3 linked regions of the Lepisosteus oculatus genome follow. The protein of the gene in region 2 interacts with the protein of the main gene of each other region in a biochemical or structural test. Links are inferred from orthologs where the notes say so. Each region holds a gene or a part of one and is shown on either strand. Other genes may lie near its edges. The genes, in order: ubr1, ube2b and rnf20.

Region 1 (7,563 bases), on a different chromosome or scaffold from region 2:
TCCACATCTAGAAGAGAAAAGGCACATTTTTCCACAGCTTTGTTACTCAACTGTGACTTCTGTTTTTAAATGTTGAACAACGTATCCTGAGGCACTGAAGGTCCTGTATAAATCCTTGTGCCTCAGGGTTTATTTTGTGCACCTCAAATTGATGACATCAACGTTTTGCCAAAAATGGAGGTTTGGGGTTTTTTTACACGGGGGATTTCATCTAGTAAAAACTTGGCTAATTTAAATTTTGTATCTTTACCAATATGTTAATTTCCTTTTTAATCTTTTCCCCCAAATTCCACTGTTCCAAATATTTCAGCAGATATCCTAATCATTCCTGACTTTGAAAACCGAAAAACAAAAACATTAAATGATCCATGATCAACCTAAAATCAATCATTCAAGGTGACAAAATGAATTTAAATCAATAATGCATTTCCTAAAAAATGCTATAGTTAGAGCCATTGTTAATGTATAGATTTGAAAAACTTTACACGGTTATGGTGTCTCATAAAAGCATTCAGACACTTGCATTGTCTTCACAGTTTTGTTGTCATGACACACAAAACAGCCATATATATTTTTCTTCAACCTACTCCACACACAGTCAAAACAAAAACAAAAATAAGTAAATAATATGAAAGAATGATTGTATCACTTTTAAAACCTTTCTAGTGTGGCAAACTTAATTTATTTAGATATACAAAATTACCTTAGATCTCAGTCTGTGTACAGTAAAAGTTGTTCACATGATTTCAGAATAAATACACGCTGTAATATACCTCAGTCATGTGGTGAATTTCAAGGAAAAATCCAACCATCAAGACCAGGAGTTATCAACTCCTAAAGTTGTACAAAAGCACTAATCAGAAGAAAGGTATAAATGATATGTCTTTCAAATTACATATGCCCTTAATATGTCTTTGAGCATGGTGAAGTTGATTAAGAAGTGAAGGCAACCAGACAGTTGATAGAAAATGTCCATAGTTTAACAATATTCCAGTTATTCCACAAACCCTTGAATGGAATTGACATACTAACATCTAAAAAACCACAAGAACCTTTCAACTTAATATTTAACTGGTAATGCAAACATGTCACAAATAGTTTTATTGTCAGATAACACAGAATTTGACTTTTCAGGTCTAAATGCAGTGTTACATCTGACACAAACCCATAGTGAACCACTCAATAAACACCCCCACTGCAAAGCATGATGGTGGCAGCATCGTCTTATAGCTTCTCATCAAGAGAAACAGTGAAGTTTATCCGATAGGAACTGAGATGGAGCAAAGAACTGGCAAATCTTACAGGAAAACCTGCTTCAGACATAAAACTGGGATGAAAATTCATCTTTCAGCAGGACAATTAACCAAAGTAGAAGGCCAAAAAGGCAATTAGAAAGTGTATTCCCTATATTGAGTAGCCCAGTCTAAGTCTCGATAGAATTCTTGACTCAATAGGAATCAATAGCAAGGCTGCTGTCTGTGAGTAATCCAAAAGCAACATGAGACAACTTAAGCAAATCTGCCAAGAATGGGCAGGAATTGCACAAAGCTGGTGTGCTAAATTGGAAGAGACTTACCCAAAACCACTTGTGGCTGTGATTACTACCAAAGATGCTTACACCAAATATTAAGTTCATGGGTCTAAATATTTATGCATTATTTCATTGTTTGTATTACTTTATCTTGAATATTAAGTTTAAGAAATTGGTAGGCATCATTTTGTAATTTCATCAATGAAAAGGTAAAAATCAAACACCAATGAAAGGGCTTGAATACTTTTCCAAGACACTGCAGGTATATCCTAAATTATGATGTTCAAAAAGCTGTTTAGTAAATTCAGTAATTTACTAACAATCTTAGTTTAGTTAACTTTGTATGTCTGTATTTAGGTCTTTAGATTTTACAAATGTCACAGAAATTCACCTTTGTACTGTCAGTTTTCAAAGATGTTTCACAACAGTTTTGAAACGCTGAGAAAGTGTCCTTAAAGTGTGCTTCCTTGTAAAGCTGGATTTATCCAGAAAACAATACTGATATAAACAAAGTAAAAGTGAAACTCTGTGTTTAATTGGTAGTCCTCAAGTCTAGTCTACGTGGGACTTACGTATTAAAAATTAAAGCACATGCAATTCATGATTACAATAATTTCCGAGTTTTAGTTCTAAGATGTTGAGATGCTTCCAATAAATTTAACTAAGATTTGCTTACTTAAAAAAAACGAAGAAAAAAGTCATATTTTTCTTATGAATAGCGCCAAGTTTTCTGTTTTATTGTTTCGTTTTTATTCCATTGTATGATAATGAAATATATCACTTGCAATACTGTCACACGCTATTTTTCCTCTTATAATCCACAGAATAACAAAAACAATCAATAAAAGTTATATACATTTTTAAAATGTCGATCTTCTATGAGCGTACTTAACCACAAACTTCCGTCCCTTTCCAAACAGAATACTATTGATCTTTCAAGTATCACTACCATATTATTCAATGTTATTAACTACAAGCAGCTCTTGTTGAGTCTCTTGAAAAACCAATAAAACCCAAGATTCAGGTCGATTTTAAACTAGTGAGATCAGGCAGTGTCACTCTTGCACTTTTATTTGAAAAGCAATGCATTGTGAATTAAATACATATCCACTGTCATCTATTGTTTCCAATCCTGTACTGAGATCTTAAAAGAAAAATTAAATTGCAGCAGTTTGCTATAATTCCTTCAAGAAATCTAACCAAAATTCAACCCCAGGTAAGAAGAATAGTATTTGTAGAAAAGAAAAAAGCTAGTATCGAAGTAGTATACAAATCGAAGAAAAGAAATATACGCAATAAGTAAACGTAGAAAATTACCAAAATAAAATTAAATATACTCACCATACTGAGCTCTCGTTTTGTTAATGTCTCTTCACCTTCCGCCATCTTTCATCTGCCGTAATCTGTTACCAGGACAACGTGTGAGACAGGTCCCAAAACTGCTTTACGACATTGTGGCAAGCGACAGTATCTGTCTTTACACGGCATGGTTGTACGCAACATGCACACATACCAGTGCCTGTAATACTCCTAAGGCTCTCTAGAGACATGTACTGGAATAGAAAAGTAGAAAGGTACAGACTTCATAAATCTCACCTTACTACAACTGAAACTATATTGAGTACCGAAAGAAGCCTATTACTGTGCATGTTTGTCATTAAAAAAAATGAAGTATACTGATTTTGGATGTTGATTAAATGTTTATTTTCTTACTGCCAGCAGCCATATCATCTTGCAACTCACAACTGGCAACCCATTGAAGCTAAGCAGGTGTGAGCCTGGTCACTACCTGGATGTGAGACCTCCTGTGAAAAACTAAGGTTGGTGCTGGAAGAGGTGTTAGTGGGGCGCTCACCCTGCGGTCTATGTGAGTCCTAATGTCTAAGTATAGTGACGGGGACACTATACTGTAAAAAGGCACCGTCCTTCGGATAAGACGTAAAACTGAGGTCCTGACTCTCTATGGTTATTAAAAATCCCAGGGTGTTTCTCAAAAAGAGTAGGGGTGTTACCCCAAATGTCCCATTGGCCTCCTAATATTCCCCATCTATGAATTGGCTTCATCACTCTGTTCTCCTCCCACTGATAGCTGGAGTGTGATGAGTGTTCTGGTGTACTATGGCTGCTGTCACATCATCCAGGGTGGGGCTGCACATTGGTGGTGGTGGAGGGGAGTCCCCATTACCTGTAAAGCGCTTTCAGTGGAGTGTAAAGAAAAGCGCTATATAAATGTAAGCAATTGTTATTATTTTTTAATCATTTTGATTAATTCAAATTCACCTGGTGAAAATCAGTAATAAAAATAATAATACATGTAACAACAACGTTAATTTACAAAGCACCTTTCCAAACCCAAGGAAATTATTCATAGGCCCTAGTAGTGCATTTTACGCTTAGATTTGAAACAGACAGAGAATGTGTCTCTTGACAAGAAATGACATTCCATAACAATGGAGTAAGAAAAAGCACTGTCACCAAAAGTGTGATATTAAGTCCCGGGTTTAGTGAGCAAAAGATCTCGACTGAAAAGACTGTATGAGAAGGAGTGTAAACATAAAGCCATTCAGAGATGCATGAAGGAGCCAGATTATTTAAAGCCTCAAAGGTCATATTGAATACATCACTTGCCAGACTTGTTGCTTATTAAGTGAACATCCAACATTAAATATATGTTGGAATCCAGAAGTGGCACATCAGCTACTGTGACACAGAAAAGCATAATGATGAGGTAATTTTATCAAACCATCCAGCGACATGCCAGCAGGACAACACACACACACACTCCTTTTTCTGGGGTAATATTGCCTTTCAGAGATCACAATGACTAATAGCGCAATTCTGAATGTCCTACTTGCCAGACTTGAGCCCCCTTAAACATTTGCTGGATGAATTGGGACAAGAAGAGGCTTTTAAGGCTCAGAAACCATTGAACAGGCTCATGCTTATCCAGGCTCTACTAGAGGAACCCCACAAGACACCTGCAACCTGGTGCCAATCAGGCTTCTCAGAAGTACACCTTATATAGCTTCCAAACGTGGCCACACACTTCTGCCTGGGATTTTCACAAAAGAGCCTCTGCTGATAATACATATTAATCAACATTTAATAAAGATGACTACGTCTTAATAATTTCATTATTAAATAATGAATGCATATGATAGAACCTGTTACAAAACATTTTTTATTTACTTGATATCTTTGGCAGTTTGTTGCCGGAATAAATTTGATTATTTTATTACTTATGTTTGTTATATTGTTTTTGTCTAGAAGTATCTTTGCATTTTTTATTAAACTTCTTATTATTTTTAAATGTTTCTGAATACAAGTCGCCCCTACATTAAGTAAATATATATAATTTGATGTCAGAAATACTTAACTTTCCCGAGAGTTTCTCAGACTTTAAAAAAAAAAAGACAAAAAGGTCCTCATACTTCCGCTAGAAGACCCACCTACCGAACTGTTGTCACATGACGAACGATTTACTGATAGGCCGCGTTTGCATGACCCATCCCCCGGAAGGTCAAGGTTCAAAGTATGTTAGTCAACAGAAGGATCAAATATGGATTCCATTTTTCACGAGAAAGTAAGTCGTTTTGAAACATTTAATCCGATTCGGGGGGATTTAAATATATTAGTGTGTGGTTTGTCTGGCTACCTCAAACCGTGATTTTAATAAAACGAATGAATGAAACTTTAAAATTCTTCTGCATTTTCCTCTTTTAACTAGTGAAACCTCCAATGTTTATGTTCTTTAAAAGACTACTGTTTCTGCTTTGGCAAACTTCACTGGAGCAACGTACATGTATAAACGTGTTTAAAGTTATCTGGGAAATTCCTCGATGTATAACTGAGTCTGGTTTGGTTAGTTTTGCATATGCAGTAGGTATCGATCAGCTTCCACCACTTTTTCATATAATTCATATACATTTTTTTAAGTACAGTTTGCCTTCTTTAATTTCCATATTGTAGATGTAATCATGTGTGTAAGATGTCTTTGTATTATCATTGATTGCAGGGTGTGGCTGTCTAAAATCGTGTTGTTTGGTTGCTTAAAAAGTGAACTCCTTATTTTGAGTTGACTGTTGTACTCTCTGTCATAGCAAGAGGGCTCCCTTTGCGCCCAGCATTGTCTGAATAACCTACTCCAGGGGGAGTATTTCAGCCCTGTCGAGCTGTCCTCCATCGCACAGCAACTGGACGAAGAGGAGCGGATTAGAATGGCAGAAGGAGGAGTCACTAGCGAGGAGTATAGGACCTTTCTGCAGGTAACAGCACTGGGGCTTGGCCATTTATGGGGGGGGGCAGGAGAGCCCTTTTCAAGACTTTTGTCTTCCAATTCCAGCAATCTGAGCAAAATCAAGCAGGACCCTACAACTGTTATAAGTAATGTTACCATTAATTCTGAAACAATGAACTGAACTGTAGGGCAACAGGTTAACTCAGTTCTATCAGATCAGGTGAGCTGTGTTAGATTGAAAATGTTGCACTGTTATGGTGATAGATTGAACAGTTGGTTTTCCTCTGTCTCTAGAGACCCTGTGAGCAATCTGAGCAATCCCTTGAACTGATTCTTAAGGCCACTAGGAGCTCTGTTTGAATATTAACAGATATTGTGGGCAAATATTCTGATGGCCACACAGTGGGTGTACTTTTTTGTCTCACTGATTGTAACTGAGATACTGCTTTCTGGGACACTGCACATATGTGTCCTTCCTCTCCAAATTCTTCATGAACAATTTAATTCATAATGTGAGCTTGGAGGGTGGCACGCTGGAGTTTGTATGTTCTTCCTGTGTTCGTGTGAGTTTCCTCCAGGTGCTCCAGTTTCCTCCCACAGTCCAAAGATATAGTGCTAGGTGAATTGGCTTGTGGGAAAGTTGGCCCTGGTGTTTGTGTGTGCATGTTTGTGTTTTTTTCTGTGTGTGTCCTGCAGTAGACTGGTGTCTTGACCAGTTTCCCTTGATCCTGAACAGGATAATGGTTAGAAAATGGATGGATGTGAGCTCAGCATTCCTTATTAAGTTATCAATTATAGCCCGTTGCTTGCAGTACAAGCAAAATATAGACCAGACCCATTGTCATGCATATTAACAATAATAATCGCCAGGTGTTTACAGAGTCCTGTGGTGCACAGCTCGGGTCATTAATAGGCAGTTTAGTTCCTAGGGCATATTTGCTTTGCACTCTAAGTATCTTTAGGGGAACTACTTCTACCTGGACTACATTTAAATATTTAAGAGTTTGTAGTTCAGGTGGGTAGCTGCGTCAGCACGCGTAGGCTGCAAAGGAACAAGTAATAGGTTTATTCCATGCTGAAAAAAAGAAGAAAGAGAACACAACGTTTCGGCCGTGGAGCCTTCTTCAGGTGTGACACCTGAAGAAGGCTCCACGGCCGAAACGTTGTGTTCTCTTTCTTCTTTTTTTCAGCATGGAATAAACCTATTACTTGTTCCTTTAAGAGTTTGTGCTTGTCTGCTTTTTCGTATTCAATACCTTGGTTTTAGAATGATTTACACATGTCTTTAGAGGAGTGGAACAGAATGGCCTGCATCACAAGCATTGACTATGGTCTCACCTCTCCTGATGCCTATGAGTGATTGGCATTTCTCCTTCTGTAAAAGGAGATGTGACTATCCCTTCTATTTCAGGTGCTAGCTTATACTTCTACTGTTTTAGGACTCCTCTAGTACTTACTGATGACAACATGTATCTAGCTTTGTCTTTTTCCTGTTCTCACAGCAACCATCTGGAAACATGGATGACAGTGGCTTCTTTTCAATTCAAGTGAGTTTTATAAAGTTGCACAGTTTAAAAAAAAACTCAAATGTAAACTAAATATTAGAACCGGTGGATTTTCAGGATTTATTCTTATTCTTAATTTATTCATTTGACAGGTAACTTCATGCAGTTCTTGTGTCTTTCATAGAACATTATTAAATTAAAGGTAACTGTGTAGACTGTAGACAGAAAAGGAATATTATTTTAAGCTGAAATAATATAAATGATATATAAGCTGAATTATAAATATAAGC
Region 2 (7,063 bases):
TTTTGAACCAAGCTGCAATATAATGTAACAGACCAAATACTTAAATCACACCTGCTTCCATCTGGCTTTCTACTAAAGTATGGGAAGCCCAGTAGAATATTACGGTTATTAAATCTCACCCAAATATCACTGCATTCCACAGCATGATGTTATTTTCTGATGGGGCACCACTGACTCCAGCAGGAGGATCTTCTTGAAGCCTTTTAAGACATAAATAATAGAGTTTTATACTGTAGGTGAAAATGTACTTTTAGGATTTAGTAATATTATAGAAAACAAGCTCCAAATCTGACCAGCCTAGAAAAAGCCTTGAAGGTTTTTTTTAAAAGGACTTGTTATAAGGCACATGTTTACCTTAATGCAGGTATAGAACAGGAAACAGGTCTCAGTAATGGATGGCTCTCTTTAATCTTAACCTTCTTGCAGAGCCTGGATTATTCAGTCTAGAGTTACCTTAAGACAAAACTGTACTGTATAAGCTCTATTTTGCCAGTAAAAAAGAATTAAAATGCTTGCTGGTTCTGGTCCTGTTTAAGATAAAGGTGGCAGATTCTATTCCCTAGCAGTTTAATCTTATTAGAAGTGTTAAGTATATTACCAAAGCTCAAAACAACACATCCACCAGAGACCGATGCACCAGAAAGTAATGACAATGTTAAAAACATTTGGTGATAATCCGAATAACCTGTGGCTTTAGGCTCCTGTTCTGCAGATGTCTGCCTGTCATCCCAGTGCATGACTATGATCACTTTCCAATATCTGATACCCCAGCTTCAAGGGACACGAATGATTACATCTTAACAGCAGCCGCCTTGAGTCTGTTCTTGTAAGGTTTCCAAACCACCTGCACCTCAAACAGGTGTCTAGCGCTGCTCTTAGCAAACAAAAAGAGCTCAGTCTCAAGTACAGGCTTCCACACGTGAGCCCTTCATCTGTCTGCTGTGATGACAGAAGGTTGATGCAGGTCATGCCTCACTGCTCCTGACTGCACTGTCAGACAGTGCCACTGCTGCCCCAGCCCCAGGGATTATCCTACTTCAAGATGGGCTCAATTCCCATCACAGAAGAAATTAAATAAAAAACAAACAACAACCACCCACAACAGGGAAACTGGATTTAAAAAAACTAGCATCAGATTCATCAAATTGTTTTCTGAAGGAAAAGATGATGCATTAGTCTGCAAAGGTACATTCAGCTGCATAACACTGTCAAAGATGAAGTGTTTCTTGTAAAACATAAATGTTGTACCTTCAGGCTTTGCGATACACTATTATATCAGGCATATATAAATGTTAACCAGCAAATATTCTTCTCCAAGATGTAAAGCCTGCTTTTAACTGAGTGGATTGAGAGATTCCAATGAAAAAATGTCATCAGCACATACAGTTGTTTTAAGGGGAGATGTGTTTCCCAAATGGCATTTTAGGGTCCAGGAAGAACAGCAATGCTCTTCTGTTACACTATGAAAAGGTTACATTTGTGTAAAAATGCTGCAAAAACATAGAGCCCTGTTTTTATTTATTGCTTATATCTAGTCCAATAATTGCATTGAAATTAAATTAATATATTTTTTTCACCCCACAATAAGGAAAATTGGATTTTGAAAACCAGCAGCAAGTTGTTTTCCAAAAGAAAAGCAGTTATCCAATTCTATAAAAGGTACCTTCAGTTAATGGATATATATATTGAAAAGGAAGGACCCAAAATTCAACACCAAGTGTGATACCACAAACTCACCTGACAAGTTACAACATCCCTTAGTTCTCAGCTAGTGGTACCCAGAAAGAAAGAGGGACTAGAAAAGTTTCCATTTTTTCCCCCCAAGTACTATGTACCATGAATTCAATTCAAGCTTTATTATGCTCTGGGTGAAATTTGCTTTACAAATGCAACAATACACCAAGGAAGACAAATATTACCAACAGAGAAGACGGTACAATGATGTTACAGGAGATAGGAGGGTTTTCTGCCCCGAAATTCAGCTTTTGATATTTTTACAATGATAACCTGTAGCATTATTAATAATATTGTAATTACAGTATAAAATCTAGTTAGACTGTATCGGCTACGTTTGGGCGTCGTTATCCAGAACCATAATAAAATAAGAGGCTCAGAGACGGCCTCCCTACAGCTTACGGAAAACTTCAATTTCTCCTGAAGAACAATACCCAGACTCCTGGAATCACAACACATCCTAGGGGATGGCCACACCAAACATTTCACCAAAAGACCGTTACATAACATTAAAGGGACACATCCTCTCTACTGCGAGTACCGACTTCTTAACCAAACCCAGCCCGTCTGCCCCTGTCCACCAAGGAATTATAGGGCACCGGCCAGTTTCTGGGTTTCAGGAAGAAAAAGATCCCAACTAAAAAACATGTGACCTGTACTTAACCTGAAAAGGTGAATCTACTGTCTATTGGTGTCGTTTAAAATCTAGTAATAGTGAAAATGAATTTCCAACAGCGTCCTGCTGTCATTGTGCGAGCTATTCTCCTTTATATAGTCATTTGACACAATCGAGGGGTGATATCACATTAGCTCAGCATTACCAGTGAATTTGGAAATATACAATCGCCGCTGAATTTTTGTATTGTGTTTACTGGGGGAAAAAAGCGTGAAAAGAAAAAAGGATATGCATTCTCTCGTGTGAGAAATTCAGGCACGGTTCTCGAAAAGGAACCTTTTTGCAAAGAAAGCCGAAAGAGTGGTTTGAAAGACAACTCGCTTTAATTAGTCCCCCACACCAAAAATATGTTCACCTTCAAGAAAAGCACCGATGCACCGCAGATATCGACCAGGCAGTCGAAACTTGAATACCTAAAAGCACAGGCCTAGCACTGCCGTACTGAATATTACTGTTGGGCAATGGAAAAAAAAAAAACAATGCTCAGAAAAATGGAGCTCACCTTTTAAAATCTCTCATAAGTCGCCTCCGGGCCGGGGTAGACATGGTTCAAAATGACAAATTCAGAAATTTTTAACCATAAAACCAAAGCCGAGCCGGTATATTTTTGAGCTAATTTCACCTCTTGTGCCTTTTTTTGCTCCTTCCAAACAACTAGGGTGACGTCATAGACCTCCCATAAAATAAAAGGTGACGAATCGACCGATTGGAATAGTCCAATTTTAATTTTATCTACAAAGTGAAAGGTGAACGGTTCATTTTAGATAAATGCGAATTAATTGTTATTAATCAGAAAAAGCCTTTAGAACTGTGTCCTCTTTATTCTGTTTACGTTAGTGGGGCTTATACATACATTTTTCAATTTTACGCACCACCCCTCTCCAGAATGAAGAGTTGGTGCGGCTTCCACAGAAATAAGACGCTGTAGCAGTTGGCTCAGTGGCATTAGAAGTGATGTGTGTTTTGGAGGTAGGGCTTAGGTGAGCGCAGTCTGTCTTTTTTGTGACTTCATTTGATATCATGTATAAGATATATAAATGTTTACATTTATATAATTCAGAATTTTTCAACCATAAAGCCAAAGCCGAGCCGGTATATTTTTGAGCTAATTTCACCTCTTGTGCGTTTTGCTCCTTCATACCAGGCCAAAAAACGAAATGCCTTTTTCCATAACAGCGGTGTTTGGTAGGTAATCATTATGGCCATTAATGGAAAGTAGATTATTTGGTTTAATTTCGCATATCCTACAGTATGCTTGGTATATTGAGCAAATTGTGCATGGCAAATATTTAGTAAACTGAAAAAAGTGCTTCACAATAAAGGTTAAGTCCAAATGGTGTTACATGTTGAGATCATGGAGAATAAAATTGGAATAACTTCGATCAATTTGTGAAGTGCAGTTAAGGTTTCAGTTACTATTTGGAAGTGGGGTAATTAAAGGGTTCTATTAACGTGACCAGACTTCCATCAACATAAATTGTTTTCTTCTAATATACGTTCGCATACAGAATATGTGTGTATATATCATAGGCTCACATACTGTACATGGAACAATGTGAAACTGATGAGTAAAATAACTTGAAACACCCAGTGTTGGTCCAGCATAGATCATGTTGTTTTCTTCCCATCAGAGTATGAGTACAGTTTCTAGGCAGGTGTTCTGAAAATAACTTTAAGAGAGTTAAACTGGAACCTGTAAATTGTGTCTTGAAAGTCTATACACAGGAATTGTTTGATTAATGGGTGTTGCAGAGGATGTGGCCTTCAAATACAAGGTCCTGAAGCTGGACCTTTTATTTGCAGATGTCATTGGCCAAAACAGACAGTTGCCTGGTAAACTGCTGCTTCTGCGGTGGAAGGCAGCAGTCAGGCCCCTGCAGCAGTTAAATTTGGGCTTTGCAAGAAAAGAGAGATCAATGTACGCAGTTGCACACAAACTCTAGGTGGCCTGAGGTTGTGCCCATGGCTTACACTACCAACATTTGGATGGCAGAGAAACTGCTTATATTGTTTGCAGCACATGGGCTACCAGAGGAAACTGTCAATGGGCTGCAGAAGATTTTTATTCATACTTTGGATTTTAAGGTTTTCCATTTCACATTTTTTCCCAGCAGCCTGGGAAGTTAAAAGGTAATCCCTGTATAGATAAGACACATTATAATATCAGCAGTGGCATGATCATTATTAATTATTATTATTTACCCACTGAAGCTAAGCAGGTACCTGGATGGGAGACCTCCTGGGAAAAACTAAGGTTGCTGCTCGAAGAGGTGTTAGTGGGGCCAGCTGGGGTCACTCACCCTGCAGTCCATGTGGGTCTTAATGCCCCAGTATAGTGATGGGAACACTAGACTGTGAACAGGCACCGTCCTTCGGAAGAGACGTAAAACCAAGGTCTTGATTCTCTGTGGTCATTAAAAATCCCAGGACGTTTCTCGAAAAGATTATGGAAGTAACCCCGGTGTCCTGGCCGAATTTCCCATTGGCCATTACCAATCATGGCCTCCTAATAATCTCCATTAATGAATTGGCTTCATTACTCTGCTCTCCTCCCCACTGATAGCTGATGTGTGGTGAGTGTTCTGGCATCATCCAGGTGGATGCTGCACATTGGTTGTGGTGGAGGGGAGTCCCCATCACCTGTAAAGCTCTTTGAGTGGAGTGTCCAGAAAAGCGCTATATTAGTGTAAACATTATTATTATTAATAATTGATTGATTGATTGATTAATTGATTAATTAATTAAGGTGTCCAGTAATGACAAGCCATGCCAAATGGGACGTGGATGGTAACTGAAAGCCTGGGCCTGTCCAGTGTGGCAGCGGTCCCTAGTCTCTTCTGTCGGTTGATATTTTTATATCTAGTGTATATATTTTTCTGTGTAGTGCCAGTGTTATGCTTTTCCCCATCACTTTGTGTGCCAACAGTCTTGACTCAGCATTGCTGTAGCTCTTTCTCATTCCTCTCAGATGAATTTTGTATTAACACAGCTCCTTTGGATTGATTTAAATTAAAAAAAGAGCAAATGTACTCTTGTAATCCACTGTATTTGAATGATAAAACAGTTCAGTAAATAAATCTACTGTGTACAGTATATTTATTCCCGATTAGGTCAAAATCCTCACAAGAAATTAGATTTTTGTATTGTATATACTTAAAACAGACTTAAAAAAGTCTGAAAGACCTACGTCTGATAGTATTGCAAACACTGCATAAATATCTAATTTTGACTTGTTGAATTAAGAATTCAATATATATGGATATATTAACTTAAATGTTGATTAAGGGAGATGTGTTAGCCTGCAAGCTAATAAGGTACAAAGAAAGGTTAATTATGCCCCCCAAAATACAAAAAAATAAATTAAAAAAACAATGTTTCAGCTTTTTGACAGTTCTGGAAAAGACTGAAGCATTCTTCTCTTACTTCTTTTCAGTGTAGAATTAACCTCTTTTTGTTCCTTACAATGTACACAAATGTATAAATTGAAAGAATGCTACTATCAACATTTTATCTTCAGTTTGTGCTCTGTTCTTCCTTTTACTGTAGTATTCCAGAATGTTTTTTCTCTATTGTGACTGTTTGGTTTGTTGTCATGGTAACTTCACTTCTAATTCTTAACTTTTCAGATTTCTGTAAATTGTTTCATGTGCCCAAATAACCTGTCAGGAGAGGTGCGTTATAATAGTAATTGTATTCCAGTTTACAAGATGAAGCTAAATAATGAGGAGTTTTCCAAAACATATATAGAAAAAAATGCAACCAGGAATAAAAGTGATCTGTGAAAATAAAATAAGCAGAAAAAGAAGAATACGCTGAAGGGCATTGTTTGTACTGCTATTTTATTTCATTGCTGAAGAGTAGGTAAGTAGTAAGATATGCGATTTTATTTTTCTCTGAAGTATCTGCAGTGCAAAGAAGAATGTCTGTGCTCTTTTTTAGGAGACAATACCATTTGCTCTGTTGTTGTGCATAGTTGTGATACACAGCCCATGCTCCGGTATGATGGATATGTATGAGAATCTTGGGATTGTGGGAGAGGGAAGCTATGGATTGGTCATGAAGTGCAAGCATAAGGAAACAGGCCACATTGTCGCCATCAAGAAATTCACCGACACAGAAGAAGACACGACTATGAAGAAGATAATCACAAGAGAAATCAAATTCTTAAGGGTAAGGAGAAACTACTGAGAACTAAATAATATTATCTCATGTATTGTGATAAGAAACCCAACCCCTTTGTTTTCTCCCATTTTTGGGGTGGGAGAAGGAAAGGAGGGGGGCTGTTTATTTTATGAATTTGTACCCTCAGAATTAGATTCACATTCAGTTTACAGCCCTGAAAGGAACCCACATTTCTTAATTTCCATAAGAACCTATATCTACCTTTTGTGATATCTGCTTTATTGCTTATATATCTCTGACATAAGGTATCTGTATTTGCACAAACCCAGTACCCCATATAGATCCATGTTTACTGTACATAAAAAAATGCTTCTAGATCACTGTCTAATAGTGGTATAAACTTAAAAGATGAAGCAGACAAAAGAGAAAAGTGAAATATGGCTTTCCATGGGTCATCATATGTCTAGCAATTTTATGTCCTTGACATAAGAGTAATGATCTTTATTTTTAAAGGGGCAGGGTTGTTTAGTG
Region 3 (7,334 bases), on a different chromosome or scaffold from region 2:
CGTCGAACTGAGGGGGGGGGGGCGGGAGAGTGGCAGGTCAATACAGGCGCACTGAACGTACCAACAGGTCCAACCGCAGGCACACTCGTATCCAGAGGCTGGGCGCGATATACACAGCGCGATATACACAAAAGGATACACAGATGGATAGCGCGCATATCATGAGGACTGTCTAGACCATCTGCTTCATCTGCATTGGCAAACATTAATGCAAACATAAGCCACACGCAGGATATAAAGTCCAGAATCGTTATTAAATATTGAGCAGAAACCACAAAAGGCCCCAGCATTCCAAGTGTAGCATGGCCACACCTGAGCATCACGGGCATCTTTTCCAGCTGCTGGAAACTGAGCCTCTCATAGCCACAGTGGTGTGTGAGCAGCACCTGCCGATGGACCGGCGTCAGGGCACGCCCTGAGCAGCGTGGAGCATTACCTGGTTCCAGTAGCGGTTCAGGATGAGCAGACTGGCATCATCAGTTGCTTGCCGTCTCTCCAGCCTCTCAGCTCGATCTCGCAGCTCATCCTCAATCACCTGCCTCTGGTCAAGAGCCTCTCCCAGCTTCCTGTTCTTAACCTGGAGAGCTCGGATATCCTGCTCCTCCTGAGAGAGAGAGGGGTTAATACAGTCCAGACACACTGACTGGACACTACAGGACATTAACACTGCACTGAGAGAGAGGGGTTAATACAGTCCAGACACACTGATTGGACACTACAGGACATTAACACTGCACTGAGAGAGAGGGGTTAATACAGTCCAGACACACTGACTGGACACTACAGGACATTAACACTGCACTGAGAGAGAGAGGGGTTAATACAGTCCAGACACACTGACTGGACACTCCAGTACATTAACACTGCACTGAGAGAGAGGGGTTAATACAGTACAGACACACTGACTGGACACTACAGGACATTAACACTGCACTGAGAGAGAGGGGTTAATACAGTCCAGACACACTGACTGGACACTCCAGTACATTAACACTGCACTGAGAGAGAGGGGTTAATATAGTCCAGACACACTGACTGGACACTACAGGACATTAACACTGCACTGAGAGAGAGGGGTTAATACAGTCCAAACACACTGACTGGACACTACAGGACATTAACACTGCACTGAGAGAGAGGGGTTAATACAGTCCAGACACACTGACTGGACACTACAGGACATTAACACTGCACTGAGAGAGAGGGGTTAATACAGTCCAGACACACTGACTGGACACTCCAGTACATTAACACTGCACTGAGAGAGAGAGAGGTTAATACAGTCCAGACACACTGACTGGACACTCCAGGACACTAATACTGCACTGAGAGAAATGTGTAACAAGACGTCTTCACAATATCAGTCTGGTAGGAGACAGTGTATGGACAGCTGACAGAGCCAGGGTGATGGCCTGATGTTGGACAGGGGGTGGGACTCACAGTGTTGGACACTCCCCCCAGCTTGATGACCGTCTCCACAGCGGTGCTGCCGCCCGCAGCTCCCCCGTCCTCCGCCTCCCTCTCCCCCTCCCTCTCTCGCTCCCGCCGCTTCTCGGGGGGCCCGGAGGTCAGGGGGTCAGCAGGGCGCTTCAGCCCCGACATCGCTGGCCCAGCCTAGGACAGAGAGCAGGTCAAGATGGCGCCGGCGCCAAGCTGCGGCACGTATCCCACGGTGCACCGGCCCGCTCCCAAGATGCAGCTGGGGCAGGAAGTGCTGCAGGCGTGAGACTTTCTCAGCCTCTCGCCCAGACGCGACCGCAGGCCTGTCCGCCTGAGCCAGAGGAGGAGACACACTGCTCTCCCTGGCAAGCCTGGTTTCTCCACACCTTGGCCCAGCAAAGCCCCTTCCTAGACTCGAAGCAACAAATAAAAGCAGAGTTGAAGTCTCAGGACTCAACCACTCTTCCCGGCACAGAAGCTCAGGGAATCTCTGAAACTCGTCCGATTCAGTTTCTGTTGATTGCGACGGCGTCTCAGATCAGCCCCCTAGTGTGGGGCGTTTTAAAGACATTGGGGTGTCAAGTTGTTTAAAGTCCTCTGCCTGCTGCCAGGGGCCTCCTGGAGAATCTACCTGCGTCCCTGTAACAGCCGATAAACCCCACAGGGCAGCTCAAACGCCACATCCTGCTCGCTCCAGTGTCCGGAGAGCACAAGAGAGCTCAGCTCGAGTGAAGACCCGGAGAGCCAGTGAAAGAAGCTCAGCTGCAAACTCCAGAGAGCCAGAGAACACAGCACCATCAGAGTGATGCGCAGAGACAGGGCCGATACAGAGCCAGGACTGGAAAAGGGCTTTCTGGCCTCTGGATGGCCTGAAGTAGTCTCTGTTGGGAATCAGGATCAGGAATACTCCGAATGAAGGGAGACTCAGCTTCCTTGCACATTCAGACAGATAAACTCTCTTGATGGAGGGCACACACGCCCTGAGTGACTACACACCCCAGAGCTGGTGACATGCTCCATTATAAGAAAGTCTTGAGCATAGCTGGTTGAGCAAACCAATTCAAGACTCATTTCATGAAGTGGCTGCAGGTAGGACAGGCAGGCAAACTCCCACTGCCCAGCAGTCTGCGCCTCTCCAGCGTTAACCTGCTGCAAGCTCTTGTACAGATGAGAATTAATTTCGCTGTCTCTGACAGAAGCCGGGGAGCCCCAGTAATTTTACTAACAGGGAGAGCGGTGAGCCCCGGGAAGTTTACTAACAGGGAGACCGATGAGCCCCCGTAGTTTCTCTCTGCTGGAGAGAGCAGTGATCTCTAGTAATTTTACTATCTAACGCAGAAAATCTTTTATATCAGCACAGAAAGATGCTGATATAAACTCAGCGCTACACCCAACACACAAACACACAGCTTACACACACGTACACCACTACACGACCAGGGCAACTACACAACACTAACGTTATCTTCTCATTCACCTCCTGCGCTAAAGTCACTCATAGCGTCTTCGTTTTCTTACCGAAAGTTCTCCCGAAGTCTTGCCTTTAACGCCGGTCTCAATGATTCATGTTTTAGATTTGTGTACACCTCCAGCTCCCACCCTCTCTATCCCCGTCTCCTGCTTACGGAAGCGGAAGTTAAACCACAACCTGCTTTATTTGTTGGCGGGGCGCTGTGCGCGGCTCTCGGGACGGTATCGCGCCACCTGGTGGTGGGAGGTCATATCGGCCTGGGCAGGGCCTCGATTACTGTGGGATCACCTCAACTGATAATACTGCTCCTGTGACATTATTATTAGTATTACACTTCAGCTGGGTAGCTGCGTCAGCATGCTTAGGCTGCGAAGGAACAAGTAATAGGTTTAATCCATGCTGAAAAGAGGAGAAAGAAAACCCAACGTTTTGGCCGTGGAGGCTTCTTCAGGTGTGAGCTTACACACACACCCTCACACCTGAAGAAGGCTCCACGGCCAAAACGTTGTGTTTTCTTTCTCCTCTTTTCAGCCTGGAATAAACCTATGACTTGTTCCATTATTCTTATTATTGGTAGTACTAACGGAGATATAAATCAGGTGGCACAAGCGGTTAGCCTTGTTAAGACCATGGATTTAATTCCTGGGGTGCTGTCTGTGTGAAGTTGATATGTTCTCCCTGTGTTCATGCTGGTTTCCTCCCACAGTCCAAAGACATACTGTCAGGTTAATTAGCTTCTGGGAAAACAGGCCCTGGTGTGTGTGTGTGTTTCTGTGTGCACTGTGATGGACAGGTGTCCCATCCAGGGTGTGCTGTGCCTTTCACCCACTGCTTACTGGGATAGACTCCGACTCCCCCACAACCCTGAACTGGAGTACTTAGAAAATGGATGCAAGAAGAAAATTATATTTATTTGATGTGAATCCTCAGTGTGTCACTATAGCGCACTGGGCTACACTCTGACAGGAGTGCTCAGTGTGTCACTATAGCGCACTGGGCTACACTCTGACAGGAGTGCTCAGTGTGTCACTATAGCGCACTGGGCTAAACTCAGACAGGAGTGCTCAGTGTGTCACTGTAGCGCACTGGGCTACACTCTGACAGGAGTGCTCAGTGTGTCACTGTACCGCACTGGGCTACACTCTGACAGGAGTGCTCAGTGTGTCACTGTACCGCACTGGGCTACACTCAGACAGGAGTGCTCAGTGTGTCACTGTAGCGCACTGGGCTACACTCTGACAGGAGTGCTCAGTGTGTCACTGTAGCGCACTGGGCTACACTCTGACAGGAGTGCTCAGTGTGTCACTGTAGCGCACTGGGCTACACTCAGACAGGAGTGCTCAGTGTGTCACTGTAGCGCACTGGGCTACACTCAGAGAAGGTCTGATCTTCCCTGTCGAGGAGTCTAAGTGAAAGGCAAGCCAGGACTGTTCCATACAGAACCATACCTTTGACGCCTCATAATAATCTTCAACTCATTGCATAACCAGACAGCTACTTAATAGACAGAGAAATTAATATCAATTCAGTCCTGCATCAAACTGCAGCACGGTATCTTTCTGGAAGCTAATACTTCAGCTGTGGGTCAGGGTTCACATTGTGTAACTTTCTCTTATCTGCAGTGCTTGGAAAGATAGCACTGCCTGACTGAATCATGGAGCAATTTCTGGGTAAGAATGATTAGATCTGGGAGTTAAATCTTAACCACATTCATTGTGGTCTGTGTTTCAGTCTAGGGAGATGTGGCCATGTTTGTCTCTTTCTGTACTGAACTGTGTATTTATAATTTAGTTAATCAATCTTTATTGGCTCTAAGGGAATTTGTCTTGCAGATCAAGAGCTCATAAAAATATAACATACTATATACGACATAAATACAATGCAACAACAGTACAATAACATGACACAAAACAACATTTATCAACATCACTCAATGAGAACTCTAGGAATATCATTTACATTTCCAGCATGTACATGTACACTCAGTGGCCAGAATATTGGGAACCCTGAGTCAAAATGAACAGATTCATAGCAGGCAGTGTGTCTGATCTTCACAACCACTGCTCACACCTGCCCAATCAGACACTCTACTGCTCACACCTGTTATCTGAGACACTGCACTGCTCACACCTGTTATCTGAGACACTTCACTGCTCACACCTGTCATCTGAGACACTCCACTGCTCACACCTGACATCTGAAACACTCCACTGCTCACACCTGACATCTGAGAGACTCCACTGCTCACACGTGTCACCTGAGACACTCCACTGCTCACACCTGCCCAATCAGACACTCTACTGCTCACACCTGTTATCTGAGACACTCCACTGCTCACACCTGACATCTGAGACACTCCACTGCTCACACCTGCCCAATCAGACACTCTACTGCTCACACCTGTCACATGAAACACTCCACTGCTCACACCTGTCACCTGAGACACTCCACTGCTCACACCTGACATCTGAGACACTCCACTGCTCACACCTGCCCAATCAGACACTCCACTGCTCACACCTGTCACCTGAGACACTCCACTGCTCACACCTGTAAGAAGATATATCTTCTTGTGTTCTTTAGATAGATGATAGATACTTTATTGACCCCATGAGGGAAATTTAGTGTAGTTTCAGTCCTGGGTGCTTGTTTGTGGAGCTCTGACAATTCAATCAAAGCCTTACTTTTCAAACCCGTGCTGTCCGTCCATGTAGAGAGCAGCCTCAATAAAGGCACCAGTGACAACCAACGTTGTCCTCTTGCTGCTCTAGCCTGATTGGGACATGTGCGTGTTGTTTTGGCTCCTCTTGTTTCCAGTATTTCCTGTTTCCACTGCACTGCTGTATTCTGTCTGCCTCTTGCCAGTTCCAGAGGGCAGCATGGTGGGTGTCTGGGATTGTGGCTTCGAACTCCTGCTGCGGACACTGCAGTTGTACCTGGAGGGAGGGGCTGTACCCCAGTGGAAAGGTGGGGACCAGCCCTGCTGGGGAAAGGCTCTGTGACGGGACCACGTGCCCTCTGAGGGCTCGATGCCATGGAACGTGGGATGAGCTCTGACACAGACAGCACAGTCGGTGTTTCAGTCCCTTCACTCAACACACATGAGCCTGCGCGTGGGGACCCCAGCTGTCTGCCCAGACACTGCTTTGAGAGACAGGACAGGCACCACCAAGCTGGGGTACACTAGGAGCACCCCAGTATCTGTCCTTACCCATGTGGGGATGGCTTACGTAAGAGGATTTACAGGTGAAGGGGAATCTATCTTTCTGGGGCCAAATCTCTCTCCTTCTCCCAGTTACACCTGTTACCCCCTGTTACAGCCTGCCTGCCTTTCCTGCACACAGAGACTGAGGGGTTAATACAGTCCAGACACACTGACTGGACACTACAGGACATTAACACTGCACTGAGAGAGAGGGGTTAATACAGTACAGACACACTGACTGGACACTACGGGACATTAACACTGCACTGAGAGAGAGGGGTTAATACAGTCCAGACACACTGACTGGACACTACAGGACATTAACACTGCACTGAGAGAGAGGGGTTAATACAGTCCAGACACACTGACTGGACACTACAGGACATTAACACTGCACTGAGAGGGGTTAATACAGTCCAGACACACTGACTGGACACTACAGGACATTAACACTGCACTGAGAGAGAGGGGTTAATACAGTCCAGACACACTGACTGGACACTACAGGACATTAACACTGCACTGAGAGGGGTTAATACAGTCCAGACACACTGACTGGACACTACAGGACATTAACACTGCACTGAGAGAGAGGGGTTAATACAGTCCAGACACACTGACTGGACACTACAGGACATTAATACTGCACTGAGAGAGAGGGGTTAATACAGTCCAGACACACTGACTGGACACTACAGTACATTAACACTGCACTGAGAGAGAGGGGTTAATACAGTCCAGACACACTGACTGGACACTACAGGACATTAACACTGCACTGAGAGAGAGAGTTTGAGAGATGGTGCTGTAAGGAAGGATGATGCAGTACTCTGTCTGGGTTGTGGGGCAGGATGGGCAGGGAGTGAGAGGAGATACTATGTGTTGGAGATATAGTGAGATAGAGAGAGCTGGAAAGATACAGAGAGAACAGAGGGAATTCAGCACAATAGCAAGGTTTGAATTCAGCCTAGTGTGTTTACTGCTGTGTTTGTTCCACAGAGTGCTGATCTTTGCTCCCCCAGTCAGTGAAATCAGCCAAGCCCAGCGTGAACACTGCACTCTGACAGAGTGGAGCTGCAGCTGGCCATTAACACTCCTGTTCTAACAGGACTGCTCTACTGTACTGGGACTGTAGCTCCTATTGTAACAGGACTGCTCTACAGTACTGGGACTGTAGCTCCTATTGTAGCAGGTTGCTCTACTGTACTGGGACTGTAG

What was found.
Region 1: the proteins of ube2b (region 2) and ubr1 form a complex in vitro, tested with the Homo sapiens proteins (2 studies listed by BioGRID and IntAct, with this or other methods). The link is inferred for Lepisosteus oculatus from reciprocal best matches to the Homo sapiens genes UBE2B and UBR1.
Region 3: the proteins of ube2b (region 2) and rnf20 form a complex in vitro, tested with the Homo sapiens proteins (4 studies listed by BioGRID, with this or other methods). The link is inferred for Lepisosteus oculatus from reciprocal best matches to the Homo sapiens genes UBE2B and RNF20.

The regions. Positions count from the first base shown.
Region 1 is NC_090703.1:18,756,767-18,764,329, forward strand, and holds the start of ubr1 (E3 ubiquitin-protein ligase UBR1), read right to left. Parts: upstream 3,028-7,563; 5' UTR 2,918-3,027; coding exon 2,873-2,917; intron 8-2,872; coding exon 1-7. Other genes in the region: atxn3 (ataxin-3), read left to right, coding at 5,091-5,114, 5,632-5,796, 7,271-7,315. UniProt on the Homo sapiens protein: E3 ubiquitin-protein ligase which is a component of the N-end rule pathway. Recognizes and binds proteins bearing specific N-terminal residues that are destabilizing according to the N-end rule, leading to their ubiquitination and subsequent degradation.
Region 2 is NC_090706.1:23,899,194-23,906,256, forward strand, and holds the start of ube2b (ubiquitin-conjugating enzyme E2 B), read right to left. Parts: upstream 3,075-7,063; 5' UTR 2,957-3,074; coding exon 2,913-2,956; intron 201-2,912; coding exon 120-200; intron 1-119. Other genes in the region: cyclin-dependent kinase-like 4, read left to right, coding at 3,568-3,595, 6,384-6,580. UniProt on the Homo sapiens protein: E2 ubiquitin-conjugating enzyme that accepts ubiquitin from the ubiquitin-activating enzyme E1 and transfers it to a E3 ubiquitin-protein ligase. In vitro catalyzes 'Lys-11'-, as well as 'Lys-48'- and 'Lys-63'-linked polyubiquitination.
Region 3 is NC_090701.1:42,019,835-42,027,168, reverse strand, and holds the start of rnf20 (E3 ubiquitin-protein ligase BRE1A), read right to left. Parts: upstream 3,065-7,334; 5' UTR 2,959-3,064; intron 1,615-2,958; 5' UTR 1,603-1,614; coding exon 1,441-1,602; intron 605-1,440; coding exon 437-604; intron 8-436; coding exon 1-7. UniProt on the Homo sapiens protein: Component of the RNF20/40 E3 ubiquitin-protein ligase complex that mediates monoubiquitination of 'Lys-120' of histone H2B (H2BK120ub1).